Elephas maximus indicus: one gene and its partners. The protein of the gene in region 3 interacts with the protein of the main gene of each other region in a pairwise test. Links are inferred from orthologs where the notes say so. Each region holds a gene or a part of one and is shown on either strand. Other genes may lie near its edges.

Evidence for each region.
Region 1: the proteins of AP1M1 (region 3) and MTF1 interact in binary tests that used the Homo sapiens proteins (3 or more experiments, as listed by UniProt). The two-hybrid records come from large-scale screens. The link is inferred for Elephas maximus indicus from reciprocal best matches to the Homo sapiens genes AP1M1 and MTF1.
Region 2: the proteins of AP1M1 (region 3) and ZBTB43 interact in binary tests that used the Homo sapiens proteins (3 or more experiments, as listed by UniProt). The two-hybrid records come from large-scale screens. The link is inferred for Elephas maximus indicus from reciprocal best matches to the Homo sapiens genes AP1M1 and ZBTB43.
Region 4: the proteins of AP1M1 (region 3) and TGOLN2 interact in a two-hybrid assay, tested with the Homo sapiens proteins (2 studies listed by BioGRID). The link is inferred for Elephas maximus indicus from reciprocal best matches to the Homo sapiens genes AP1M1 and TGOLN2.

Annotation. Positions count from the first base shown.
Region 1 is NC_064821.1:79,444,272-79,451,904, reverse strand, and holds the start of MTF1 (metal regulatory transcription factor 1), read left to right. Parts: upstream 1-4,624; 5' UTR 4,625-4,691; intron 4,692-6,317; 5' UTR 6,318-6,368; coding exon 6,369-6,776; intron 6,777-7,633. Other genes in the region: INPP5B (type II inositol 1,4,5-trisphosphate 5-phosphatase), read left to right, coding at 459-543, 895-1,022, 2,121-2,232, 2,484-2,599. UniProt on the Homo sapiens protein: Zinc-dependent transcriptional regulator of cellular adaption to conditions of exposure to heavy metals. Binds to metal responsive elements (MRE) in promoters and activates the transcription of metallothionein genes like metallothionein-2/MT2A.
Region 2 is NC_064827.1:77,762,682-77,769,987, reverse strand, and holds the start of ZBTB43 (zinc finger and BTB domain-containing protein 43), read right to left. Parts: upstream 3,021-7,306; 5' UTR 2,902-3,020; intron 1-2,901. UniProt on the Homo sapiens protein: May be involved in transcriptional regulation.
Region 3 is NC_064821.1:36,437,017-36,444,137, reverse strand, and holds the start of AP1M1 (AP-1 complex subunit mu-1), read right to left. Parts: upstream 3,001-7,121; 5' UTR 2,901-3,000; coding exon 2,859-2,900; intron 1-2,858. Other genes in the region: protein FAM32A, read right to left, coding at 5,753-5,821. UniProt on the Homo sapiens protein: Subunit of clathrin-associated adaptor protein complex 1 that plays a role in protein sorting in the trans-Golgi network (TGN) and endosomes.
Region 4 is NC_064835.1:49,271,401-49,278,767, forward strand, and holds the start of TGOLN2 (trans-Golgi network integral membrane protein 2), read right to left. Parts: upstream 3,023-7,367; 5' UTR 2,961-3,022; coding exon 2,915-2,960; intron 2,742-2,914; coding exon 1,984-2,741; intron 1-1,983. UniProt on the Homo sapiens protein: May be involved in regulating membrane traffic to and from trans-Golgi network.

The DNA of each region.
Region 1 (7,633 bases), about 43 Mb from region 3:
ATATAAAGTATCCTGGGACTAATGGAAATGCCTTTATTGCCATAACCTTGTTTGCACAAAGCACTGAGGTGCCTTTTTAGCTTTCTCCTTCTTATAAATGGTATACTTTCTTCCATTTTTCTTTTTCTGGTTCATTTCCTCCATACCACTGCAAGAAGCCTAGCGACTTTGAAGTTTTTCCTTACACTGGATCGTCTTGTCCTACGTACTATATACCCTCCTGTAGTTTTATGGTAGATCTCTTGTCATTCTAAAGACCTCTTGTGGGGATACATTGGGGAAAGCCTGCAAGATGAATTAGCCACATCAGCCTTGATCAGATTGTCTACCAGGGTGGTCCAAGGGCCTCACCACACTGCTCCTTGTTGTACTGTGCTGGTGATTATATTTCTAGTTCAGGAAATAGTTACTGATTTTCTAAGAAAATAATTATTTTGTGACTTTCTTCCCTTTTGCAGGAAGATCTGTTTCAGCAGCCTGGCCTAAGGTCGGAATTTGAGCATATCAGGGACTGTTTGGATACTGGAATGATTGACACCCTCTGTATCCTTCAGTCATTCAGCTGTGCGTGTGTGTGTGTGAGAGAGAGAGACAATGAATAAGAGAAAGAAACATATTTTAAGGTTCCAAAGCTGATGCCATATCCTCCGCTATTATGTTTTCCTTGCTTAAAAGTTTCCATAGAGAAGACTTTAAGCAACCAACGTAGTGGGAACTCAGGAGGGCCTAGCTATGCTGACAAACAGCTTGGCTCCTTGGAGATGTCAGGCTGGTATCCTAGCTCTGAGCCAAGAGACTGATTGAGCAGGCAGTGCTTCTGGCATATGCTTGCTCCTGAGCCTTTTCCTAACCACGGGCCACATCATCAACCATTCCTTAACCCTGGGCCAAAAGCTGCTAACAATCATTCCGTAGCCGAGGCCTTGCTGCTTTTCCTTGAGAGCCTGCCAGAGCCTGTCATCTGTCACAGCGCCTACCATAGCTGCTTGGAGTGTTCTGGCAACTACACAGCAAGTAAACAGGTGAGGGGAAGCCTTAAGCGTCAGCATACACATGTTGCTAGCCCCAGGCTTCAAGGGTCCTGAGGAAACAAAGTAGGCACAGTCCCTCAAATGAAGTGTCTTAGGAACTCAGCTTCATATCGTTACTCCCCAAACCTGCTCTTCCTCTCATGTCCTTTTTCCTTTTAATGCCATCACCATTAATTTCAGCAACTCATTCTGAAACCTGAGTCATATATGTCTCCTCCCTGTCTCTCATCTCCCACATGTCAAGTCCCATGCTCTCTCCTCCATCCTCAATCCACTCACCTTGGTTCAGGGCACTGCATGCAGGCTCTCCCTCTGCTGACTTGTTTTGCATACTGCCTTCAGATTGTGTTGCCTAACACTGTCTTTCATCATGTCACTATTGCTCAAAAACCAAAATTGGCTCTCCATTGCCAGTTAGGGTTTTCTTACACAAATATTTAGGACCTTCTGTGATCTAGGCTAGTGGTTCCCACATACAACAGACCATAGCAGAATAAGCTAGAAAGCTTGTTAATAATATAGGTTCCAGAGCCTCAGCCCAGATCCACTGAATCAGAATCACTATCAGTGTGCCTAGGAGTTGATTTTGTACAAGCTCCCCAGCTGATTCTGATACGCCTGTAGCTGGAGTACTCGGCAAATCCTAGCCTGATCAGCCCTGCAGGGCTCAGCGTCTATTAAACAGTTGTGCCACTGCCAAGATTGACTTCTCACAGCGTGTTCTCCTGACTTATCTCACTGATTGCCTTCTCTTGCCCCCCCCCCTTTTTTTTTTTAACACTTTCTTTGGTTCTAAGTACCCTATTCCTTGCTTCTGTAAGTCCAATTTTGTCTGTATTCAAGACCAACTAAAATGCCATCTATCCCTTGAAGTCATTTGAGAACATGCAGTTACAAGTTTGACCTTTAAATTCATATGGTGCTTGATCTGTGCCACTTTTGGCACTTGTGCCAAGTGATGAAAATTTTCTGTGCACAGTCTTACTCATGTACTTGGATCGTGTACTTAGTTCCGGGAATATAGTAGGCACTTGACAAAATAGTTGATTGAATGAATGATAAGACAAACACCAATTCTTCCTCTTTCAGGTCATTTCTACTCTCCCCACATTCCACAAAAATGTCTTCAACTACTTGATGGCGTTTTTGCAAGAATTGCTGAAAAATTCAGCAAAAAATCATTTGGATGAGAATATTCTAGGTAAGCAGCCAAGTGTTTGTGAGAAGCATCTCCGCCAACTGAGAAACTCATTATGCAAAATGCGATTGAGTACGGTCCCAAGTCTACTGCAATAGAACTAAAATCTCTAGCTTTGGGCGAAGTTTAACACTCCACTAGTTTTTCTAAAAGCAGAAAGTACTGTTTTTGGTCATTCTCCCCTCTCCTAACAACTCAAGAATAAGTAGGACCTTTTTCTGCTGAATCATTTGTTTTCTGTGTTTTCCATGCAGCTAGCATATTTGGCAGTTTGCTGCTTCGAAACCCAGCTGGTCACCAAAAGCTTGACATGGCAGAGAAGAAGAAGGCTCAAGAATTTATTCACCAGTTCCTCTGCAACTCAGCCTGAGCTATTTCCTCTCCTGTTTTATCAGAGGCAGCCATTACAAGCCCCACCTGTTTCAGCTCAAGGGCTGCCTTTAAAGGGTGTGAGGCCCCTTGGAAGCAAGAATTGGCAGCTGCATGTTTCCTGAGCCCAGAACCTCATGACTAGCACACTCCGTGCTACTGTGAGTTGTGAAGACATAGGGGAACATCTACCACAATAAAACTGACATTCAATGTTCAACTTTTGTTACTTAACACAGATATATCTCTATTTTATTTTATTTTTAAAATATAAAAAATAACTGTACTTCTTGTGCTCAATCAGCCTGCCTCCAGGGCAAAGTCAGTGTCTTCCCTGTGGCCTGGGCTGAGCTCCCATGGTCAGATATCATTTAAACAAACTTTGGAGTCCTCAAAGGAGAGCGAGTTGGATGGCAAGAATGCAAGTGGAAGCTTCTGGACAGACAGACCACAACCACCCCAGATGCTTCCAGTGCTTCGTCTGAGGACATGTGTATATGCATATGCAGATCCTAGACCTCTACCTACTCAAAAGTGGCTCAGTAACTCTGAGGCTGGCCACTGGAGACAGCACAGTGTCTTGAAAATGAAAACAGAAGAAATCGGTGTTCTCATGAAACAAGTGGAATTTTCTGGACCAGCAAATCCTCCAAACTGTATATAATGCATCCCTTCTCTCAAATGTATATTTTGATGATAAATGTATTTTTAACAGTGGTTGGTGTGTATATTTTTCTTTCTTAAGAGATGGCAGCTCTTGACTGCTGGGCCTTTGTGGTATAAGTACTGGGGGCAGTTCGTCAGGGACCAAAGAGATGTTTGCCTGGCAGTCTGGTGGGTAACAGGTACTATTCACATTTTTCAAGCAAGAAATGGTAGCGTCATGGCCTGAACCCCAAGACCCTGATCTAGTCTCTTTGGGGGTTGTCCTACTCTGAGAGGCAGCTTATGGAAAAATACAGGCAGTTGGCTGTTGGGAGTGCTAATATCTAGATCTTCCTGGTATTTGAGTTTGACTGAAAGGATAGGAGGATAACGAAGGCACAAGAAAGATTGCTTTTTGGGCACTGAAGCGCCACTGCTTGGCGCCGTAAAACGCGATTTTAGAAATGGACCTGAATGAAAACGTGTACGGTTAAAGAAAGTAAGTGGCCGGTAGGTGGAGTTGACTGGCCTGAGCACGAGCCCCACTGAAGCTGACTACCCTCTGCAGGAAACAATTGGGGCTCAGAGCTTGGGCAGGAGTGTGAAGAAGGGATTTGGGCCCTTCTGAAAGCGTGTGAGAACAGGAAGAAGCGGCGTCCTCTCTGGCTTGGTTTGGAGTACTCCTAGTTCTGTCTCTTAGGTCTAATCTTTTATTAATTTTCCTACTGAGTCCCTGTCCTCGTCTATATTTTAACTTTAATAAGTGATGAGGGGGAGCTGGGGCCATTGAGAGTGAAATCCGAGAATGCTTCTAGGCTCTTCCCCTGCGGGTGTGAGCCGGGATTCTGTGGTTAACTGTGGACCTTCCAGTTGCAGCTGTGGCCGCCAGGGCGAGAGTGGCGAGCTCAACCCGGGCTGAAGTGCCTTCGGATTAGGGGTTGGGGGTTCATGCCGGTTCCCTGCGCAGAGCCGGATTACCCGATAAACAAGGTACGCAAAGGTTTACTTGTGTGTACTTATTACTTTGTAATGAACAATTTCAACCCATGTGTTCACTACAGATTAGGAAGTAAACACAAGTAAATCCGTACGTGCCTTGCTTACTGGTTAATCCGTCCCGTCCCTGCGTCTGGGGCCGAAATAGCTGTGCCTTGGCTTCCAACCGATCGCGGACTGCCTGGGGCGCTTCCCGGCGGGAGTCCAACTCAAGGCACTGGCTGAGTCCCCTCGGTGCCCCGCCCCACTCTTCCCGCTCGCCAATTGGGGGCTCGAGCTCAGCCCCCAGCTCGCCTAAACCAACCAGAAGCCCAAGAGAGAGGTGAGGCGGCTTTCCCCTCCTTCCTCCGGAAAGCGGAAGCGGAAGTGACGTTCGGGGAAGGTGGGGGCAATCATGGTGCCGCTGGGGAGGGGAGAAGCTGCTGCTGCCGCCGTTGCCGGGAGCCGCGGAGGTAAAAGGCGAAACTAGACTCGGCCTGGGCTTGGGACTTCCCGGGGGGCGCGAGACGTAGGCTCCCTTCTGAAACATTTCCCAGTGGAGACCTCAATCCAGTCACCATAGGGACCCCACCCCTCCTCCGTTTCCATGGGGATGGGTATCCAGCCCCCCTCCTCTGTTTCCATGGAGACCCGGACCCTGTCCCTCATCACTCGGCTTGTAGCCCCCAGTTCTGTCTCGGATTTTTCCGTGTATCCCTGAGCTGGGGGCTGTCCCAGACAGGTTTCTTTCCTCAGCCTCCTCTCAGAGGTGCTTCGTTCTTACTCCTCGTTTGCCATCCTCAAACCTGTTCTGTTTGTTCCGGACAGTTGATCTCCGCGTTGCCGCTGATGGTGCCGGGACAGCCCAGTGGGACTCTGGGTGCTCTTATCTCTGCTCTCAGATGCAGCGAAATGTGCATCTACCGGGTTGCGTAAGCCAGAGCCAGGGGTCGAGCCGGTTCCTCCCGGACCTGATCCCTTGGCCTGTGCCCGGTAACTACCTCTGTCTAACCGCCCCTCTACGTAAAAACTCACTTTCTAACCTAGAGCAGAAGAGAAAGATAAAGTGCAAAGTGGACTGAAAACTAGTGATGTGTTGATTATTTTTAAATTCTCTTCTGCCTGCCATACCCACATTTGTAGAAGCTCTGTGTTTGGAGGTGAAGGAAGAATCACTATTCTAGAACAGGAAACCTTCAAATTTGGTATTTTGCCCAGGAGAGTATATTTGTAGGTCTTTCATTCATTCACCTAACATTTCCTGAACTTCTAGTATCAGTGTACTCTGCTAAGGGCTGTGGAAACAAAAATAAGTTAAGACTCATCATGTCTTCACTGCAGAGAGCCACTATACTGGCATAGCTTCTGGTTAACATCAAATTGTTTTAGGACAGAAATAATTAAAGTGATCTTCATTAGGTGTGTCCAATTAGGGAGCACCCTCTCCACCCAGAAGCTGAAACATCTGTTCTAGGAAGAAGGGAAGGAATTAACAATGTTCCTTTACTATTTGTCAGACGCTGTGTTTTACATACATTATCTCTTTTACTCCTCGTGACAACTTTGAGAGAACAGGAATTACTAGTCCCACTTACACATAAGGAAAATGAAACACAGAAATGTTACCCAAGTAGTGAAGGGCAAAGCCAGGTTTTGTAGGTAGGTGAGTATGGCTCCAAAGCCTTACTCTTCTGCCATAGACTGCACTTCCTCATGATCTGATTTGGGGAATATTTGGGTGGGGTTTTCTTACTTTAATATTTACAGCGACTCAGCCTTGAAGCAGCTACTCTTCTGTTTGCTCCTTTATCCCCTTTAGGTGTTTTGACCAGTGTTCACATTGTTTGACAGGAAGGCATATTCAGAAGGTCTTATGAACTGATTGGCTACTTATTCAAAAATTTTTAAAAGGCATTGCTTTTCCTTAAAACTGACTCGAAGATTTCAAAGTTAAACTTAAAGGAATTATTCCCAAGGAAGATGATTTTTTATTTGCTTTGTCCTGTTCTTTAAATGAGAGGGAAGATGAACCCTCTTGCTGCTGAGGAGGCCCCTGGGTCCTGTGGTATGGCTCTAACTCTCGCCTTGTTCTATTGCAGAAGGGTCATCACCTTTCCATTTCTCGCAATTGGGCTGAGCGCTGTTGAACCATGGAGGAACACAGTCCAGACGACAACATCATCTACTTTGAGGCAGAGGAAGATGAGCTGACTCCCGATGACAAGATGCTCAGGTTTGTGGATAAAAACGGACTGGTGCCTTCCTCATCTGGAACTGTTTATGATAGGACAACTGTTCTTATTGAGCAGGACCCTGGCACTTTGGAGGATGAAGAAGACGATGGACAGTGTGGAGAACATTTGCCTTTTTTAGTCGGGGGTGAAGAGGGCTTTCACCTAATAGATCATGAAGCAATGTCACAGGGTTATGTGCAACACATTATCTCACCAGATCAAATTCATTTAACAATAAACCCTGGTTCCACGCCCATGCCAAGAAATATCGAAGGTGCAACTCTCACTTTGCAGTCGGAATGTCCAGAAACGAAACGTAAAGAAGTAAGTAAATAGGAGGTGAGGGTCCTGTTTGGCACTGGGGAAAGTTGAACATTGGTTACTTCAGTAACTCGTGTTGGCAGTTTTAGTTGGGGGGTAAAGGACAATCACTACATGTGCTTCATGTTTTGTTGTGACTGCTTTTTGTTGTCTGGAACTATTGGTTTGTATAGCTACACTGAAATTTTGGAAAACTAATTATAATTCCTCAAATTTTCTTCCCCAAATCATAAATAAAATAGAAATTTCACTGAGGGGTAACTCCATGGTTCTGATGCTGACAGAACTAGATTTGGCTTATCGGCTAGTGAAATAACTGGATTTGACTCATCTCTGGGTTGCGTATTAATGGTTTGTTTTGGAGATGGGTATCTGCTGGTATATGCTTTATTATCTTACAAAGTGTTTAATAAATAATAAAGACTAGCTTTCTTTCCCAAGAAATTCAGGCAAGAGGTGGTAAGTGGGAGCAGTTTATCTAAAGTAAGGTTTCCCTCTCATATTTAACTAATGTGAGGTTATGCATGCCAGAATGCTTTGAAAACTGTAAAGCATTGTACAGATTGTACTGGTGGTGGCTATTAGTGAAATAAAAAATATGGTAAACTTTAAAGGTATCCAATAACTGGTTACAGATTATTTAGGAAAAAAACAGGTTACTGGTAATTACAATGTCAGGGAATAACTATCAAATGTTACCAAACAGAAATAGGGCAAATCATTTAGCAAAATATGTGTCTCTTTTTTTGTAATTTAAGTCTTGAAATTGGGGGAATTTTATTATTCACGACACACGTCTTTTCCTTTGCTAGCCTTAGAATCTAGAGCTAGAAGGAACCTTAGACCATCTTATCTACCTC
Region 2 (7,306 bases), on a different chromosome or scaffold from region 3:
ATCGATTGCCTGGGCGGCTTTTCCCTATCACCCAGCCAGCCAGAGCTGGGTCTACACAAATACATGCTGTACTGGCAGCCCCTGCTGACTCACTGCCCTTGAGTGTTCATTAATTATCTACAACGGCTCAGAGAATTAATGGATACTGTTACCTATACTTACAGTTACCCGTTTATTATAACGAGAAAGTATACAAGCGTAGAAATACATAGGCAAGGTCTGGGAGAGTTCCCGGCACAGGGCCTCCACTGGTCCCCAGAAACGTGCCACTTCCTCTCCTGTGCGTGGATGCTCTCTTGGAACCAGGAGGTCCCAAAGAGAGCGCCCCGAGGTCCAAGGTCCCCTGGTCGTTAGGACCTCAATGAATATGCATGACTTGAGCCTTAAGGCACAGTTATGATAGATCTAATCAATAAATAAGTATGACTGCATCATATCCCCCTTGCCTTTCTGAGGCCTGTTGCCAGGGCGGGGTCTGCGTAAACCCTACTTATTTACACTTGCTTAAGTTTGGTGGCGTAGTAGTTAAGAGTTCGGCTGCTAACCAAAAAGTTAGCAGTTCGAATTCACCAGGCACTCCTTGGAAACCCTATAGGGCCGTTCTACTCTGTCCTATAGGGTTGTTATGAGTTGGAATCAACTCAACAGCAGTGGATTTTTTTTGTTTCACCTAAGGAGCGCCTGTGGTGCAAACAGTTAAGAGCTCTGCTGCTACCAGAAAAGTTGGCAGTTCAAACCTACCCAGCCGCTCTGCAGGAAAAGATGTGGCGATCTGCTTCTGTAAAGATTACAGCCAAGGAAACCCTATGAGGCAGTTCTACTATGTTGCATGATGTTGCTACGAGTCAAAATCAACAACAAGTTTAGCCTCGATGTTTTATAAAGACAAAGAGCACCTTAATTAGTCAGCCTATTTTCAGAAACCAGAGTCAAGGCATAAAACCAAGTTCTTTGTCCCACATATATGCATTAGAATATTATTTTTAAAAAGTCTAAGTAAGTCTAAAAGTGCTTTCAGTAAGAATAAAATACAAAGTCTAAGTAATAAGAAAGCATTATGTCATAGTTTATTTAACTGGCAGTGTTTTCTTCCTTGGTCATTCATAAAATAATCAATGGCACTAGGATTCAATAAAATATGGTAGTAATTCAGTTGCTACATCTAATAAGAAAGCTTGACAAACTACCTTAAGGATAAACTAACAGCTTACATAAGAGAACATAAAAACTTCCCAATGACAGAACACAGGAGAAAAATACATAATTGTGCGTTATGATAATAAAAGGGCTATTTTTCCAACCCTAAGAGCTTTCTTTTGATAGATTTTTTTTCTGAAAAGATTTCTGTAAAATCTTCCTCAAGGTTCCTATTTGCAGCAGATTTTTGTACAGAATCCAAGGAAGATGGAGGGAGGAGAGTCAGGGCAAGAATCTATTTTTGCTTTAACTAAACTCTCTCTTTCTCTAAGGACCTTCCATGGTCTCTCCTTGGCAGTACACACTGCTATGCAGAGAGCAGGCCTCAGTAAATAAATATAGCTTCAATCAAATGTTTCTAAAAGCTACATAATGAATTTTTAAAAATCACATGTAGAAAAAGAGCTTGTTAGTTTCAGGAGTCTCCAGTGAGTACTTTTGTAAAGCAAAGAATGAACCCCCTAATTATTAGGTTTCTCACAACTTAATTGTACATACTGACACAATCTCTGAACTAAGCATGCAGTTCTCCCAGAAATCCTGCTGCTGTTCCAGGAGCCCCTAGAGCAGAGGATCTCAGCCAGAACCCTTTTTAGCCTGTAGTCAGGCCTATGTAAGCAGCTGTAACTCAAAAAGCAGACTCCTGAGAGCTCTGCAGATCATCCTGGGATAAGGGGATGGGGCAAAGTGATGTGGAGGGTGGGTGGGTAGAGGGGGTTGTGCAGACCTGAAAAACCATGGGCAAGAAAAGGCAAGGAATCATTAGCTACTATGACCCTGAGATGGTCTCTTGTTGGCTAGCCAGGCCCCCCTGAACCATGACACTTAGTTACTTTGGACAATTAGTTACGTCTGACACCTGTCAGAGTTGAGGCCAGTCTGACAAAGTCACCAGTGCCGGGAACTTTACTGGGGTCATGAGTCACCTTCCATGGCTCAGAGGTTTGGGCAGACCTGCTCCACCCCACCCATATCCACCCATTTAGGAGAGCGACAAGAAAGATATAGGCACTGGGAGAAAGAGAGAAACAGACGGCCAAAGACACGTACTAAGGCAGGCCACGAATCAGAGTAAAGACTGAGAGGCGGCGACAGGCTCGACAGACACAGAAGCAAGGTGGAGACAGAGATAAAGACAGGGTCCAGATACAGAGATGGGTTCGAGAGAGACAAAGTGGAAATACAATGCTGACATGGTCCAAGTACAAAGACAGAAATGGCAGGTGACAACAGGTTACAGGAAGAGTGACAGAAGTGAAACCCAGAGGGAAGGAGAGACAGATCGAAGTCCGGGCTCAGCCCTTCTCCCGGCCTTGCCTCACAAGGCCTCGTGCGCCGGTGGCTCGGACCCGAGACCACCAGACTGCGCTCACCCAGCACCCCGTAAGGCAGACGGACGGACGGGGACGAGATTTCTAAGAGCTCAGGCCGGCCAAGCTCCACCGCTGGGGGGTGACCTTGGGCGAGACGCTGTCCCAAAGGCCTCGGTGTCACGACTGGCGCGCCGGACCGGCTGGAGACCGCGGCATTCGGACCCGGGGTGCTCGGACTCCAACCTTCCGCGCGTGGCTTCTGCATCCCCGTCAGCAGAATGGGCCCGGCGGGCCAGCTGCGCGCGCACGCCGGGGCCTGCAGAGAAATCCTTAAACCACCCTGGCTTCCTTCCGTCCTCCCTCGCTGCCCGTTGTTCCGATCCCGCCGTACCTGCCAAGGGTTCCACACTCACATCGCCCAACTGCGAGGACCTCTCAATCGCCGGCTACAAGTCGGTTCAATCCGTCGCCGTTGCGACCGCCTCAGCCTGTGCCTCCCGCCCCCGGAAATGCTTCTCGGTCCCGCCCCCGAAACTGTGCTTCCGGGGGTGCGTCAGCGAGGAAAGCGATGTGCGCATGCGGGACTCACGTTCGGGGCGGAGCGTCGGGAGAGCCACAAGAGATAGCTGGCGCCTGCGCAGTACGGCTTTGGGCGATCAATCTGGTTAAGGAGCTCTGGGTTTGATGGTGGGCGTTCGGTCACCAATACTGAGCCTTTAAACTCTTTCTAAACCTCAACATGTCTCAGCTTACCTAGCAGAGATTGTGTAAAATCATTCACAGGGTCCACCCCGCTGTTTAGCACACAGTGGGTGCTCAATAAATATTCAGTGAAAAAATTAGTATTCTCTGTGTGGCTGGCGTTGTGCTGGGCTTCCGCGTGTGGTAGATGATGGGACAGGAGCGCCTCCTCTACACTCCAGTTCCCCTGCTTCCACTAATTCTCCCCCACCCCAAACACACGCACATTAGTGTAGAAGAGAGGTCCTCCAGGATGGGACTCGAGCCTTTTATACTTGGACCTGTTCTGTTGTTAGTTGCTGTGGAGTCGATTCTAACTCATGGCTATCCCAAGTGTGCAGAGTAGAACCGCTCCATAGGGTTTTCAAGGCTGTGACCTTTTGGAGGCAGATCAGGCACGTCGTCAGGCGGGTCTTCCCAGGCCTCTTTCCAACCTCTGCTAGTGGTCTAGTGCTTAACGGTTTGGGCCACCCGGGAACTCCTTTGGGCCTGTTTCCAAACCAAAGTAAATCCATTGCTTTTGAGTCCATTACGACTCATAGTGGTCCTATAGGACAAAGTAGAACCTCCCCTTTCCAAGGGTATAAATTTTTACGGAGGCAGACTGCCACGTCTTCCTGCCGCTGAGCTGCTGGTGGATTTCAACTGCTGACCTTTCTATTAGCAGCCCAGTGTTTAACCATTGTGCCACCAGGGTTTCACTGGACCTCTTTAAAGCCCCTTATTTTAGAGGAGCAAAATCATAGTGAGCTGAAATGGACCGCTCTTGGCCATTTTGAATCAGACAGTCATGGTCTGCTGTGCCAGGAAGGACAAATTGAAGAGGAACGGGGTCACATTCGTCGTCTAAAAGAGCATCTCAAGAAGTACAGTGCTGTCAGTGATAGGATAATATCTGTACTCCTACAAGGAAGACCGGTTAATACGACTATAATTCAAATATGCACCAACCACTAATGCCAAAGATGAAGAAATTGAAGATTTTTACCAACTTCTGTTTGGAATTGATCAAACATGCATTCAAGATGCATTGATAATTACCGGTGATTGGAATACAAAATCTGGAAACAAAGAAGGATCAGTAGTTGGAAAATATGGCCTTGGTGATAGAAATGATGCTGGAGATTGCATGATAAAATTTTGTAAGACAAATGACGTCCTCATTGCAAATACCTTTTTTCAACAACATAAGCAGTGACTATACATGTGGACCTTGCCAGATGGAATACACAGGAATCAAATTGATTACATATGAGGAACGAAACAATGTAGAAGCTCAATATCATCAGTCAGAACAAGGCCAGGGACCAACTGCAGAACAGACCATCAGTTACTCATTTGCAAGTTAAACTTGAAGCTGAAGAAAATTAAAACAGGTCAACTGAAAGCCAAAGTGTGACCTTGAGTGTATCCCACCTGAATTTAGAGACTATCTCAGGAATAGATTTGATGCATTAAACACTAATGATCTAAGACCAGACAAGTTGTAGGATGTCATCAAGGACATCATACATGAAGAAAGCAAAAGGTCATTAAAAATACAGAAAGAAAGAAAAGACCAAAATGGATGTCAGAAGAGACACTTAACTTGTTCTTGAATGTAGAGCAGCTAAAGCAAATGGAAGAAATGAAGTAAAAGAGCTTAACAGAAGATTTCAAAGGGAGGCTTGAGAACACAAAGTAAAGTATTATAATGAAATGTGCAAAGACCTGGAATTAGAAAACCAAAAGAGAAGAACATGCTCGACTTTCTCAAGCTGAAAGACCTGAAGAAAAAATTCAAATCTCAAGTTGCAATACCGAAGGATTCTGTGGGCAAAATATTGAATGATGCAGAAAGCATCAAAAAAAGATGGAAGGGATCTACAGAGTCATTGTACCAACAAGAGCTGGTTGGCATTCAACCATTTCAGGAGGTAGCATATGATCAAGAGCCAATGGTATTGAAGGAAGAAGTCCAAGCTACACTGAAGGCATTAGCCAAAAACAAGGCTGCCGTGGAATTGACAGAATACTAGTTGAGATGTTTCATCAAATGGATGCAGCACTGGACGTACTCACTAGTGTGTGCCAAGAAATTTGGAAGACAGGTAACTGGCCACTTGACTGGAAGAGATCCGTATTTGTGCCCATTCCAAAGAAAGGTGATCCAACAGAATGCAGAAATTATCAAACAATATTATTAATATCACATGCAAGTAAATTTTTGCTGAAGATCACTCAAAAGCAATTGCAGCAGTACATCAACAGGGAACTGCCAGAAATTCAAGGCAGATTCAGAAGAGGACACAGAGTGAGGAATATCATTGCAGATGTCAGATGGATCTTGGCTGAAAGCAGAGAGTACCAGAAAGACGTTTACCTGTGTTTTATTGACTATGCAAAGGCATTCGACTATGTGTGTCATAACAAATTAATGGATAACATTGTGAAGAGTGGGAATTCAGGAACACTTAAATGTGCTCATGCAGAACCTGTGCATAGACCAAGAGGCAGATACTTAGAACAGAACAAGGGGATACTGCATGGTTTAAAATCAAGAAAGGTGTCTGTCAGGGTTGTATCCTTCCACCATACTTATTCATTGTGTATGCTGAGCAAACAATCTAAGAAGCTTGATTATATGAAGAGGAACGTGGCATCAGGATTGGAGGAAGACTTGTTAACAACCTTTGATATACAGATGGCAGAAACTTGCTCACTGAAAGGGAAGAGGAAGCACTTACTGATGAAGATCAAAGATTACAGCCTTCAGTATGGATTACACCCCTACATAAAGAAAAGAAAAATCCTCACAACTGGACCAATGACCAACATCATGGTAAACAGAGAAAAGACTGAAATTGTCAAGGATTTCATTTTACTTGTATCTACAGTCAACAGCCATGGAAACCACAAGTCAAGAAATCAAACAACTGTTGTATTGGGCACATCTACTGCAAAAGATCCTCTAAAGTGTTAAAAAGTAAAGATGTCACTTTGGGGACTAAGGTGCACCTGAACAAAGCTGTGTTATTTTCAGTTGCCTCATATTCATGTGAAAACGGGACAATGAATAAGGAGGACCAAAGAAGAATTGATGCCTTTGAATTATGGTGTTGGTGAAGAATATTGTCCATACCATGGACTACCAGAAGAACGAACAAGTCTGTCTTGGCAGGAGTATATCCAGAATGCTTCTTAGAAGCAAGGGTGGCATAATTTATTAAGGTTGTGTGTCAACTTGGCTGGGCCATGATTCTCAGTGATTTGATAGTTGTCTGGTGGTGTGATCACTTCCATGATGAGATTTGGTATTATGTGACTACCTCCATAAGGGATCTGCTTTGAGTAGCCAATCAGTTGAAAGGGGGTTTCCTTGGGGGTGTGGCCTGCAGTGAGTATAAGTGGATATTCTGGCAAGGCTTGTGGGCTTTCGCTTATTCTGGATCCTGCAGCTGGCTCCTGTTAATCTGATCACTGGTTCTTGGGACTTGAGCTAGCAGTTTACTTGCAGTCTTGCCTGTTGATCTTTGGGGTTCATCGATCTTTACAGCCTGTGAACAAGAGCCCTCCTCTACGACCTGCCAATCCTAGGTTCGCCAGTCCCTGTGGCTACATGCATCAGGAGAAGCCTCTATCCTGACCTACGAACTTGGTACGCTCCAGTGCCTACAAATGCATGAGCCATTTCTTTGATGTAAATCTCTCTCTTTATATATATATGTATATATATATATATATATATATATATGCTTTACTGGCTTTGCTTCTCTAGAGAACCCAGCCTAAGACAGATGGTGAGACTTTGTCTCATGTACTTTGGACAGGTTATCAGGAGGGACCAGGCCCTGGAGAATGACGTCATGCTTGGTAAAGTAGAGGATCAGTAAAAGAGAGGAAGACCCTTGACGCGGTGGATTAACACCGTGTCTATAACAACTGGCTCAAGCATAACACTGATTATGAAGATAGCACGGGATCGGACAATGTTGCGTTTTGTTGTGCATAGGGTCAGTATGAGTTGGAACTGACTTGATGACACCTAACAACACCAATTCGTACTAACTTAAATT
Region 3 (7,121 bases):
AGGTGTTATTCACTTAGTGTTGCTTAAACACCATCTGCTCAAGAGGTGAGCTTTCCAGGCATGAAGTCCACGGTGAGGGGAAGAATAAATGTCGTCTTGGTTGCTGAAAATGAGCTTCCGAAAGGCAAGACTGGTCATGCTTCTCCCAGCCACAATTTCCCTGTGGTGGCTCCTCCTCCCTGTGTCCTTCTGTCCCCTCTTCCATCTGTACATCTCAACACCCACAGTCCCCTTGGTGCTGCCCTCCATGCACCAGCATTATGAGGGATGACTGGCTCTCCAGCCCCAGTGGCTGCCCCTGACCCCCGTGCACCCACTGGACTGCCTCCCTGTTAACCTGACTGCCACCTGGTCACCTTCCCAAACCCAGACCTCCTCCGGGAGCCTTCTGTAACCACCTCCCTTCCTGCAGCCGAAGTGAGGTTGAGCAACTGTGGCCCCTCAGGGCTTGTCCCTGCCCTTGTGGCTGCAGGATTTGACCATCCGGTAATGTATCTGCTGCCTGGCGTGTCTCCCAGCTGGACTGAGGGCTGTGGACAGTAGGCTGGGCATGGGGCTGAGCCTCGCATATCGCTCAGCAAGTCCCCACAACATCCCCGAAACGGACTCACTTGATCAATGAGGAAAGTGAGGCCCAAGGGGAGGTGCCTGCCAAGGCCACACACTGTGCTGCAGGGAAGGGTGCTGAGCTCGCCCAGGCCCCAGGGCCAAAGGGGCCCCCTGTGCCTGGCACAGTGCTCAACACGTGCTAGGTGCTCACATAACATTTGCTAAAGCCATGAGCCAGTGAGACGGGCCAGGGCGGAAGCAGAACACAAGCACAAAGCCTCAGGGTACACTGCTCCTCCAGTCCTGGGGTGCCCGTCTTCCCTGCCTCTGAGAAGGCTGGGCAAGGAAGCCAAACAAGGGAGCCAAAAGCTGTTGACTCTGGGTGGCATCCAAGGAGGGGAGCCTCAGGCCATCCACTCATGGGAAAGGTGTTGGGGGTGGAGGGAGAGGCAGTCAGGTCACCTCTTGGCTCCTGTCTGCTTCTGTGCTAACTTCCCTTCCCTCCCCCAGGACCTGACATCCACGTCCCTCTCAATGATCAACATCAGACTTGTCTGACATTGTTGTATCTGTTTTTGTCACTCCCAGATGTAAGAGGTCAGATGGCCATTGCCTCTCCACCACTGGGTGGGCTTGGGGGAGGACAGCAGCCCACCTCTGAAAGGCTTTCATGACCACTCCTTTAAGCAGCTCTCTCAGACACCCCTAAGGTCCCTGAGTGACTCAAGCAGTTTGTGCTTGGCTGCGAACCTAAAGATTGGCAGTTCAAACCCACCCCACAGTGTGGCAGAAGAAAGTCCTAGTGATCGTCCATATAGATAATAGCCAAGAAAACCCTGTGGAGCTCAGTTCTTTGTAACACATGGGAACGCTGTGAGTCAGAATGGACTTGACGGCAACGAGTTTGGTTTTGGTTTTTTGGTCAGACTCTCCTGGAAAGGCACCTGGTTTTTGGAACCAGCATAAGCTCCTGATCCAGGCATGTCCAACACTCCCTCCCACCTCAGTGCACTTGCCACTTTTTTGGGGGGCCTCCTTGATCCCTGAGTTGAGGTGGGACCTCCCTACTATACATGGTCATCGCTCTTCCACTGCAGTGCATATTGGTTTGTGTTTTTTGAGGTTACTGCCCAACTCCCCTACCAAACTGTGGGCCCCACGGGACAGGGACTGCTCCCCCTGCTTGGCGCTAGTCCCTGAGTAGTGCAAACGGTTACACTAGACTGCTAGCTGAAAGGTCGGTGGTTTAAAACCACCCGGCAGTGCCTCGGAAGACAGGCCTGGCAATGTGCTTCTGAAAAGTTACAGCCTTGAAAATCCTATGCAGAACAGCTCTACTCTGCACACATGAGGTGGCCATGCGTCAGAATTGACTGGCAACTAACAACCTGTAACATTCTGGAATCCCTGGATGGTGCAAATGCTTTACAAGTTTGGCTGCTAACTGAAAGATTGGTACTGAGTCCATCCTGAAGCACCTTGGAAGAAAGGCCTGGCTATCTACTTCAAAAGGTCACAGCCTAGAAAACCCTGTGGAGCACAGTTCTGCTTTGCACTCATTGAGTCATCGTAATTTGGAGTGGAGAAACCAGAACAGCAGCCTGGTCTAGCGCTCAGTACCAGTCCTACAAAAATTAGCTGAGCCAATAGGTGATTCTGGGTTTGCCTCCTGGGATCGAGGCCTCCACCTGCCATTTCTCTGCGACCCGTGTGACCTTGGGTGGGTGCTTCAGCCTCTGTGCCTCGGTTTCCCCCTCTGCACATTGGCGCTTCCACTGCCCACTTCACCTAACTCTTGTACAGACTCAGTGTCACCATGAACGTTCCTTGAGCAACGCCTACCGGGTCTGGGACAGAAAAGGTGCCCGCTGAACTGTAGCGGCTGCGACTCCAAGAGCGGAACGAACCCCAGGGCATGCTGTTCTCGCCACGCCTCGCCACTTCTGGCCAAGGGTCGCGCGGTCCCTCAGCGCTGGGCCTGCCCTCCCTGAGGCCTCCCGGGCCCCCACGGAGGCCTGAGTTCCCGAGCCTCGCTGAGAGGCGGGGAGGGTGGTGAAGCCGGTTACCTGGCGGTTGCCAACCACAAGGCAGCCCACTGCATTACCTAGCAACAGGGCGGGGCTCGCGGGCAGAAGACCCCGCCTGCTTCTCCAGTAATAGGGTGGAGTCCTCAGGTGCGGCCCTGCAGCCTCCCGGCCTCACACCTTGGTGGGGCCCACTGGCCAGTCACCTAGCAACGGGGTGGGTCCCCGAGGGGCGAGGCCCCCGCCGGTTTCCCGGCAACGATGCGGGTGGGGAGCCCTGAGTACCTTGCCCTTCAGGTCCAGCACGTAGACGGCGCTAGCGGACATGGCGGCTGCCGGAGGCCTCGGCGGCAGCCTCAACAGCAGCTGCGGAAACAGCCGGGCGTTGATCAAGGCCGGCGCCCCGCGACAGCCCGCCTCCACTTCCGGTCTGGGAGCCGCGCGCGGACCGTTATGTCCGGCCTGGGCGGAGTTGCCAGCATCGCGCAGGCGCAGAACGGAGCGTGCACAGGCGCAGAAGCCCGGTGCGAGCCACGTTTCCCACCCCGCCTCCAGAATCCAGAAGTCCGCGCCTAGTTAGGTGCAAGATGTCAAAGGGGGGCCTCACCTGGGGCCCAGGCTTTACGGAGCCGCAGTCTGATGTGGGAGTCTAGAAGGCTCCGTTGGGAGGGGAGAGGTGGCGATTTACTTGGAAAAAGGTCAAGGAAACTCTCTGAAAGGCAGTTACGCCTTACCGCGGTCACTGTCACCTGTCATTACTAACGTTCGTCAGTGGAAAAGCGTGGTTTTCTGCTTATTGCCTGGAATGATCTCGTGAAAACCACGCCCTCACTGAACATAGATGAAAAGAACAGTCTGTTTTATTGTGGTAAAAATATGTAATATTTACCATTTCAATAGTTTTTACATGTACAATCGAGTGATGCTGTGTTCATCATGTTGTGCAGCCATCTCAGTTTCTAAATTTTTCCATCACTCGTAACAGAAGGGAAACCCTGGTGGCCTAGTGGGTAAGTGCTATGGCTGCTAACCAAGAGGTCGGCAATTCAAATCCGCCAGGCGCTCCTTGGAAACTATAGGGTCGCTGAGTCGGAATCGACTCCACAGCAGTGCGTTTGGTTTGGTTTTGGTTTCTTAACAAAAGCTCACTGCTTCCTAAGAAATAACTTCGCCTTTTTTCCCTCCTCCCATCCCTGGTCTAAAAAAAAAAAAAAAAAAAGCTGCCATCAGTTCCGACTCATGATGACCCTATCTGCTCCACAGGGTTTTCTTGGCTGGTGGCACATACAGTTACACACCCAGCTGCTAACCAAAAGGCCGGCAGTTCAAACCCAGGCAGCCGCTCGGCAGAAAGACCTGGCCATCCACCCCCATAAAGACTATCGCCAAGAAAACCATATGGAGCATTCCACTATCACATGGGGTCACTATGAGTTGCCAATGCCTCAGTGGCACCTGACAAAAAATCTCTGTGGAAGATAGCTGGGCTTTCTTCTGGGTCGCCACTGGGTGGTTCTGAACCACCTTTAGTGGTCCAGCACAAACCATTTGCACCACTCAGGGACCTTTTGTTTTTAGTCCTTTAAGGTATTGTCATGGATTGAATTGTGTCCCCCAAAAACACATCTATCAATTTGGGTAGGCCACGATTTCCAGTATTGTGTGATTGTTCACCATTTTGTCATCTGATGTGATTTTCCTATGTGTTGTAAATACTGTCTCTATGATGCTAATGAGATGGGATTAGTGGCAGTTACGTTACTGAGGCAGGACTTGATCTACAAGATTAGGTTCTGTTTTAAGCCAATCTCTTTTGAGATATAACAGAAGCAAGGGATGGCGGGGGTATGACTCATAACACCAAGAAAGCAGCACTGGTATCCAGGGTTCCCAGTGCAGGGAAGCTCCCAGACCAGGGGAAGATTGATGACAAGGGCCTTCCCCCAGAACTGGTAAAGAGAGAAAGCCTTCCCCTAGAACTGGCACCCTCATTTTGGACTTCTAGCCTTCTAGACTGTAAGAGAACAAATTTCATTGTTAAAACCACCCACTTCTGGTATTTCTGTTATAGCAGCACTAGATAGCTAAGACAGGCATGCACACCCTTCATGTGCGATAAATTCAAGAGGCCGCCTCCCGTGTGGAAACCAAACAGCTTATAACTAAGACACACAGACTCATTTAATAATTGGTTGTTGCTTTATTCTGCAGTTCACATGTAACAGCCTCAAGCCCCACACTTGATTTTTGTCTTCTCGCTTTGTTACTCTTTCAGAAGCTGGGTCAGCAGAGACTGTCTCCCCCAGTATACAGATTGAGCCTCATCCAATAAACACAGGCCCCCAAAAGACCCTGGCTCTCCACCGCCGGTAATGGGGTCCTTCTGTTTGATCACATACATGTCTGTCTGTGCTGGAGTTCAGCCCTGGTCATGTGCCAACTTGGAACCCTGGCTGAGGGGGGAGTCAGGTGGTATCTGGGCTCCATTACAAAGAAGGCTGTGAATGATTTGCAATGTCTGCCACAGGGGCCATGGTGACACCCATTAGAAGTGTCTGGGATGGGGAAACTGGGAGAGGGGCTGCAAGCCAGTCATGGGCTCAGAAAGGGACCAGGTGGGATGCTTCATCCCTGCCATAGGCAGCCATCCTCTGCGTCCCAGGCAAGAGGGCTGTGGAGGTGGTTGGAAGACCACAAAGCCATGGGTAGCTTCCCTGCATCCTGGATGGAAGAGCTTAAGCCCCAAGCTCATGGGAGTTTAGAAGGGGAGCCTACATATAAGGGGGTCTGCACACTGCAGGCCACACCAGCATTAGCTCCTTATCCTCTGGAGTCAGTTTTATCTGGATGAAGAGAACTGCTTGGTTGTCCTCAGAAGCTTAAATGCAACTCAGAGAACTAAATATTCTTACATGGCACTTACACAGCAACGACTTGAACCTCTGGATAAACTTCCAAAGCTTTCCAGCCCACACTAAAAACCAAAATTGAGTCAAAGGACAGTCTTACTTTAATCAAGTTCTAGAACAAGGAGACAGTTTCAAAATGCACGGTTGCAGCAGAAAATGCAAAGGCATGGGTAAAAGAATGTTTCTAGAAAATGCCAAAGGGACCCGACTTAACCCCAACTCTGTCTTCTGCTTCCCCATGAGGCCACGCCATGCCCAGGGGCCAGGAGGCTACTTGGTCCAGCTGACTTTGGGGATGTCATAATGTTCTGTGAGTGTGTCCAGGTGTCTGTTGAAGTCCTGTGAAGGTCAAGGAGAAAGCTCGTCTCAGCACTGACCCATGCAGGGTGTGAAGGGCACAAAGCCTTGCCCACACCACCTCTTCCATGTCCTGCCTCTCCTTTCCTACTCTCCACTCAAACCCAACTTGCCAGGTCCTATAGATGCCCGAACCCTGGGCTCTCCCTTGAATGACCCTGGGAGGACCCTGTGGTGGTTAATTTTGCATCAACTTGGCTAGGCGATGGTGCCCAGTTGTTTCATCAAACACCAGTCTAGTTGTTACTGTGGTGGTTCAGCGGTAGAGTTCTTGCTCTCCATGTGGAAGACCTGGGTTCCATTCCTAGCCAATGCACCTCAAGCGCAGCCACCACCCATCTGTCCGTGGAGACTTGCATGTTCAGCAGAGCTTCCAGACTAAGACGGACTAGGAAAAAAGGCCTGGTGATCTACTTCCAAAAATTTGCCAGTGAAAACCCTTTGGATTACAATGGTCCAATCCATAACAAATGGGGATGGCGCAGGACCGGGCAGTGTTTGGTTCCATTGTGCATGGGATTGCCATGAGCTGGGCGTTGACTGAATAGCAGCTAATAATTGTTTTTATCAGCTGGTCTTAAGCAGATTACCCTCATAAAGTGTGTGAGCCTCATCCAAGCAGCTGAAGGCCTTACGAGCAAACCACAGGTTTCCCAAGGGAAAATTCTGCCTCTAGACTAGATATTCTGTCAGAATCCCCCTCTCCCCAGCCGCCTGACTTACTGATTTTGGGACAGAATACTGCAGGAGTCTACAGTCTATCTCCTAACCTATGGATTTTGCATTTGCCAGCCCCCCAAAGGTTCATGAACCAATTCTTCAAAATAAATCTGTGTGTGTGTGTGCGTGCGTGCGTGCGTGCGTGTGTGTGTGAATACAGGTAGTCCCCAGGCTACGAACGAGATCCATTCCTAACTCTGTCTTTAAGTCGAATTTGCAGGTAAGTCAGAACAGGTACATATGATTCTTATTTAGTGTCAGTCAAATGTTTGTCTTAGTATATATTTTACCTTTCTATGCATATAAAACCCTTAAATACTTCCAAATACACTAAAACATCATGAACGTAATACAGTACATAATAATACGATAATAAAAATAACTACATACAATACTGTACTGAAGAGAGAATCTGTGTGTGTAGGTATACAGCACTGTAAAAAAAAAAATTAAAGGAACAGTTCTTAAAACAGTTTAGATAGAAGAAAAAAAAAGAAAAAAGATCCTGATTAAAGGTTAACACTTACTCTTGTTCCATCAGTGTCTTGCATACCGGAAGGGA
Region 4 (7,367 bases), on a different chromosome or scaffold from region 3:
ACAGGCAGGCTCTAAGGAGCTAAAAATCTGCTTATTTGGGCGATTTTACAATTAGATGTGTAAAAATGAGTTTGGTGCAGGTGGGCTTTTTGGGCTAACAGGCCCCAGCTTGCTGTGAAGTAAACAACATGGGGCTAATACAGAGGCCACCTTTGGCTCATTTAGGTAACTGCTTGACAGGAACAAAAGACGAAGAAGGCTGGTCTGTTCTGGGCTGCAGCTGGTGGGAGTTTGCATGATTTACTCGTGAGCTCTCAGTTCAAGGCCACCGAACTGATGGAGCTGCCAACTCCTTCCCAGAGAGCTCCAGAGGCTGAGTTTTCCAGGCGAGGACTTTTTTTAAAAATAATTGTCAGTAATTATTTCATATCCATACCTTGCTTCTAGATCAAGTGCACTCTTAACGTTCCTACCCTCGGGCTACTCCTAAGGTTCCTCCTTTGCTGAATAGCTGAGTCACTTGGATGTGGAGTAAGGGGAGCACATTTCTACTCAATGCTCTCGCTTGCTCTTCACAGCTATAGGCTGACTGCCATGAGCTGGACTTTGAGATTTTAACCAGGTGTTATAAATTGAATGGAAACCCTGGTGGCGTAGTGGTTAAGAGCTACAGCTGCTAACCAAAAGGTCGGCAGTTCGAATCCACCAGGCACTCCTTGGGAACTGTATGGTGGAGTTCTACTCTGTCCTATAGGGTCGCTATGATTCGTAAATGAACCAATGGCAGTGGGTTTGGTTTTCGGGTTTTATAGATTGAACTGTGCCCCCAAGGATATGTGTCAACTTGGCTAGGCCATGATTCCCAGTACTGTGTGGTGGTCCACCATTCTGTGATATGATGTATTTTTCCTATGTGTTGTAAATCCTAATTTTGCCAGTGGTTAATGAGGCAAGATTAGGTTAAGTTAAAGAAGATTAGGATGGGATGAAATACCCTTACTCAGGTCACAGCCCTGATCTGATGTAAGTGGAATTTCCCTGAGGTGTGGCCTGCATCACCTTTTATCTTACAAGAAATAAAAGAAGACAGAGAGCAGAGAGACAGAGGGAACTCCTACCACCAAGAATGAAAAACCAGGAGGGAAGCATGTCCTTCGGACCCAGGGTCACTGTGCTGAGATACTTCTAGTCCCATGCAAGGGAAGACTGATAACAAGGACCTTCTCCCACAGTTGACAGAGAGAGAAAGCCTTCTCCTGGAACTGGCATCCTAAATTTGGACTTCTAGCCTCCTCAACTGCAAGCAAATAAACTGCTGTTAAACCCATCCACTTATGGCATTTCTGTTACATTGGCTGTGGGTAACTAAGACACGAGGCTACAGAAACTATCTTCAAATGCTTAGGTCTCAATACGAAATGCAACCGTTTCGTCGTTAAAGTGGTTGTTAAGGGGCAGGGATGTCATTTAACACCAAATCCTGCTAAGAAGTAAAAAATGTATCTGTGGGATTTCTGGGTTTTCTTCTAGTTATTGGAAACCCTACCTTGCAGAAGATAGTCCCAGGGCTCCTTGCTGTTGATGCAGAAGACTATGTAACTGAAACCATTCTTTCTACCTCTGCAGATGGAAGACAGAAGCTTGGAAAGGAAAGCTAGAAATGACACACTCATGTCAAAAGTGGAAATGGGAAGACAATAGCCCTAAGAACTTATAAACTGTCAGGTACCCAAGTTCTCTGGAGCTGGGAAGGCTCTAAGTTCAAGGTTATGGGAGGGGCACCCACTTCAGGACAGGTCATAATATCTTAACTTGGCACTTAATGCAACAGCAGAGGGCGTTGAGAGGAAAACAGGTAGGTGACATCATGGAAATAAGATCTACAAAAAGAGTGAAGAGCCCTGACAGGACCTGAGGAAAAATTGAAGTTTGTCTTAAAATTCCTGTGTTCACAGGCGAATGAGTGATGAAAACTGGCCCATACACCACGATTTCAGAGTGGAGGAAATCCCATTCCCCTCCCTAAGGCAACTCTCAGCTTACCTTGCGTTTGTTGTGATAGGCAATATAGAGGACCGCAACAAGAATGGCTGCAGTCACCAGATACGCAAAGAAGTGGCTGCTCTCCGCACTAGCACTTCCAGGACTATCCTTAAAAAGGTTATCCTCACTACTCATAGAACCCGAAGGCGGGCCTTCACGGTTCTCACTGGGGGCCTGGCCTGACATCCCTTCTTTGGGTGGTGACTCCTCTTTAGGCTCTCCATCATCTTCTTCAGCCTCTTTGGGCTCCACATCTTCAGCAGGCTCTGAAGACTGATCTCCTTCCTGCTGGGGAGAAGCAGGGTCAGAGTTTGTTGACACTTTCTCCCCAGATTCTGTCCTAGAAGCATGCAGACTGTCTTTTTTGTCAGTTACTGCGTCCGGGCCAGGCTTGGAGGGCTGCTTGTTATCAGAGTGTTCTTTCGGCGTCGTGTGTTGCGGACCTGGATTGCCAGGGTTGACTTTCGGGGTCGTGAGTTGCGGGCCTGGACTACCAGGGTCGACTTTCGGGGTCGTGTGTTGCGGACTTGGACTGCCAGGGTCGACTTTCCGAGTCGTGTGTTGCGGACCTGGACTACTAGGGTCGACTTTCAGGTTCGTCTGTTCCGTACCCGGACTGCCAGGGGTGTCTTTTCTGGTTGTCGAACCCACAGTGGGTCTGCTGGAACGATCCTCCTTAAACGACTGTTCTGCTATAGAAGTGTCATTTTTCTTGGGACTGGGGGCCAGATTTTCGGCGGCTTGTGGCTCCGAGGGTCCTGAAAAATAGGAACCCGTTGCTCCAGGAAGAGACCGAGGCAACGGCCGGGGTGGGGGAGGGATGGAGTTGATGCCGCAGCGAAAGGTGGGTCGGGCAGGGAAGACGACCGGCCCGGGTGAGGGCGAACGAACTGGGGGCAAGAGTGGGACAGGGGTAGTGAGGGGGTCTTACCCGCCGCTGCGGCGCTCAGAAGTACCAACGCAACCAGGAACCGCATCCTGCATGGACTGCGCTTCCGCCCTCTATCGCTCTCGCGAGATCCGCACGGAGGTGGGTACCTCGCGTGAGCTCACGGCCCCCAGGTTTCCTGCCCGCGTCTCGCCCTTCCCCGGGTGGTGGGCGGGGCTTACCCAAGGGCTGCCCGGCCGCCGAGTCCTTCCGGTGCTTCTTTCAGGACGTAGTGCTTTCGCTCAGCCGGGCGCTTTAGAGTCTTCCGGTGGGAAGTCTGTCCACCTCTCCTGTTTATTTTTCCACAAAAGCAACCTCAACAGACCGTCATTCTCTTTTTTCTTCTTCGTAGTTCTGAGACACATACAGGCCAAGCGGGTGCTCCCCTGCTGGCGAAACGTCCCGGAGCGAGTTCGCTGGCGCCGGCCGCCTGTTCTTTCCGCCTCGGTTCGCCCTTTCAGTCTCCGCTTCTCCTGGTTCTTTCCCTGCTGTGCCCGAGGCGCTCCTGTCTGGAAACAAACCCATCCGGACCGTCGTCGCGCCAGCCTTCGCTTCCCTGCCCACCGCCCTTGCGACTCCACGGAAAGCTCCGACGTGGCCAAAGATCTCCCCTAAAAAGTACGATTTTTTTTTTTTTCTGATCATAGAAGTTATTTATATTCACTGCAGAGGATTTAAAGTATGGAAGTAGAAAACAACACCATATTCTCATCGTTGAAGTTTTAGTGTATTTTGTTTTGCAAATATTTAATATTTTTGGTTAGGGAATACATTCCCGTGGTTGAAAAATCACGGGATTTAAAAAAAAAAAAATACGTTTGAAAGCCCTTGCTCCCTACACAAGTTACCAGTTATATTGGCTTACTGTGTTTCCAACCTCATTTTTTTTTTAAAAGCAAATACAGATGCATTTGTTTCCCACGTCTTCTTAATGAGTGCATTTTCTGCCTTCTTCTTTATGCATATTCATTTTCTTCCCAAATTGGGATCACTGGGTAAATGGTTTTGCATCCCAACAGTTACAGTTACTGTTATGTGTATTCATTAAATGCTGATGGAAAACTATGAACAGTTGTGGTTTGTAGATAGTGATGCAGAAAATGTTAGGCTTTTACTATCTATTGTGCACAGTTTCACAAGGGTATCAAAGATGTGGTGAAAAAAAGGTGAAATTGTGTACTCCAGACTAGTAAGTAAGCACAAGTGAGCCTGTGCATACCTGGTTTATTGGGTAATCCGTCCCTGGGAAGGGACTTTTGAGCAGAAGACCAAGGATGTAGGTATTTCCTAGGTGGGGCTGAAGAGAGGAGGAGGAGACCTTTGCTGGCTGAGTGTACAGCAAGTGCAGAGGCCTGGAGGCAAGGGGGAGTGAGGAGAATGGCAGGGGTTGAGGCTGGAGAAAAACCAGATGAAGAAGTAAATGATCTGAGAGTTGTCCAGATTACAAAAACATGTGGAGCACAAAAATACAACTGAATTAACAGAAAATATGTCCAGTTAACTCAGATTGAAATATAAGCGGCAATCACTCCTACCAGAAAGGATTACAGCCTGACAGTGGTTAAGAGCTTGGCTGGTAACCAGAACGTTGGCAGTTCCAATCCACCAGTCTTTATGGATGCAGACTGCCACAGCTTTCTCCTGTGGAACAGCTGGTGAGTTTGAACCACTGACCTTTGGTTAGCAGCCAAGCACTAAACCACCGTGCCACCAAGACTCCTTAATGAGAGGGGCAGGGGGTGGCAAATTATTAAATCTGACATGGTATCCACAAGTACCAGGCAGGAGAGCAAGGGAGTCCTAATTATGCAGTTTGTGGGCCATGCCCAGAGTTTTGTATTATATCTGACAGTAAGTAAGAAGAAGCCACTGAAGAGGTTTAAAGTGGGAGAAAGATGTAATCAGAGTTGGGATTTTTGTAGGTTACTCTGGCTGAAGTCTGGAGAACTATTTGGAGAGTGGGGAGGGAGGAGTTGCCTTGGAAGTTAATGAGGAGACTATTACGGTAGTCCAGGTAGGACTAGTGTGGGGACAGTGAGGATGGGGAGAAGTGGTTGGATTCTGGATAAATCTGGGAGGTAATACTGACAAGCCTTGGAGATGAGGGCATGCAGTGAGGGAGTAAGGCGTGGAGGTGCTGTTTCTCTGAAGTAGGGAACACTAAAGGAAGGCCAAGTTGGAGGGAGGTGGGGTATAAAAATTGATTTTTCTTCTGATTGTTTAAGATGCCTGTGAGACAGTCAAGTTGGAAGGAAGTTGTTGGAAATGTGGGCATGGAGTTCAAAGATAGAAGAGTTTTCCTTAGAACTTACACATTGTTCAAAAAACACTATTAATGATTTCATTAAAAAAGGAATTTATGAGTTTATCATAATTTTTATGGCAGTTCCATTAATATTAGACATTTGGGTTATTCTGAAACTTCTGTTGTTGTTATGTGCTGTTGGGTTGATTTTGACTTGTAGCAACCCCATATGACAGAGTAGAACTGCTGTAATCTTTATGGGAGCAGATTGCCAGATCTTTTCTCCCACAGAGTGGCTATTGGGTTCAAACTGCTGACCTTTTGGTTAACAGCTACTTTTTTAATCTAGTGTCACGTTCTGGTTTGGTGCATTTTAAGATGAGACGACACTCAGAAAAAATTAACCTGTCCAGGGTCACTCTATCACCTAGTCCTTGATAGCATTGAATATTCTTAACTTGCCAGTTTGACAGGAGAAAAATAGTCCAACTGTATTCTTTAATCTTTAATGAACAAATAATTTACATGACTTTGAGCAGTTTACTTAGTTGTTTTAGATATCAGCTTTGTTATGAAATGGGGATAAAAATTTGAGAATTAGATAATTCATGTATAGGATTTAACAGTGTTAAGCCTCCAAAATTGCTAGTTATTATTATTATAATTAATATGTTCATTATAGAAAAATTAGAAAATAGGATAGGCCAAAGTAAGAAAAGTATTTCATAATCCAGAGCTAGCTATTATTGTGACTATTTTTGTGGTTCTCCCTTTTTTAACAGGCACATATTTGCATAGGATAAGATTGCTAACTGAAGTTAAGCACATTACAAAATCTTACGTACAATTCCTATTTTGCAGGCCTCTTTGTAGCATTTAGTGCTACAACTAGTCTTGTCATTTGTCTTCTGGGGCACTACCGTCTACTTGTTTTCTACTGTTTCTTCTATCGGCATCATTCGAGGACTCCCAATTGTCACAGAACTGTGTGTTTTCTAGAAGGGAAATGAAATCAACGGTATCACACACAGCATAGAGTAAGAGAAGGACTCAGAATTAGGAATTCCAGTAGACTGGTAACATCAAAACCTGGTTGCAGTGGGATAAGCAGTGAATGGCAAGGTAAGCAGAAACTATTTTCTCTGGAAGTTTCAATGTGAAACTTTAATATGGGAAAGGATTGGGTTTACTTGTTGACGGAGGGGAAAGTTGCATTAAGAGGAAGTGTGATCATCAGATGACTGACGGGACAAGGTACCAAGAGATGAAGGGCTGGGGTATAAAAGTCAGTGGAGTTGACCTTGAACAAGGGTTGACCTTGAGACCTGTGGGAAGACAGAATGGGTAGGGATTGTGTAGATATTTAGGTTGCAATGTGAGAAATAGAAATACAGCATTTTTGCTGGACTTAACTTTCTTGATATTTTAAGAGGGAAGGCAGTCTTCCATGAATGAGGAGGTAGGGATTAAGTTGAGGACTTGAAAATGGTAGAGAGTTAGAAGAGTTGTCGAGGGGATTAGGAGAGGGAGCTGACAAAGGACGAGGGTAGGAATTGGTGAGTAGCCCTGAAGGTTGATTTCAGGCACCACGATTCTTTTGTGGCACCTATTTGAGTTGCATAGTTTTTCTCCAGGCAGTGCTCCTCCTTGGGATGAGTGGAAGGCAGATTTTAGTATTAAGTCCTAACTCACACCAGTTTTGGTTTAAGGGCATGATAGGAGGTAACATTAATCTTAAAATTTCCCTGCACCCCTTTATAATAAAAACACTCAGCAGACTAGGAATAGAAGGGAACTTCCTCAACCTCTTAAAGGGCAAGTATGAAAAATCCACAGCTAACATCACACTTAATGGCAAAAGACTGGATATTTTCCCCCTAAGGTCAGGAGTATGACAAGGGTGTCCAATCACCACTTCTAGTCAACATTGTACCGGAGGTTCTGGTAGGGCAGTTATGCTTCAAAGGACACCATCAAAGAAGTGAAGAGAGCACACAGAATGGGAGAGAATTTTTGCACATCATGTATCTGATGACACAGTGGTTGTAACGAGTTCAGGCGTAACAATTGTGAGGATGGCACAGGACCGGGCAGTATTTCATTCTGTTGTACATAGGGTCACTGTGAGCTGGAACTGACTCAATGGCACCTAACAACGACGTATCTGATAAGAGATATATCTAGGCTGTATTAAAAAAAAGCTTTGCAACT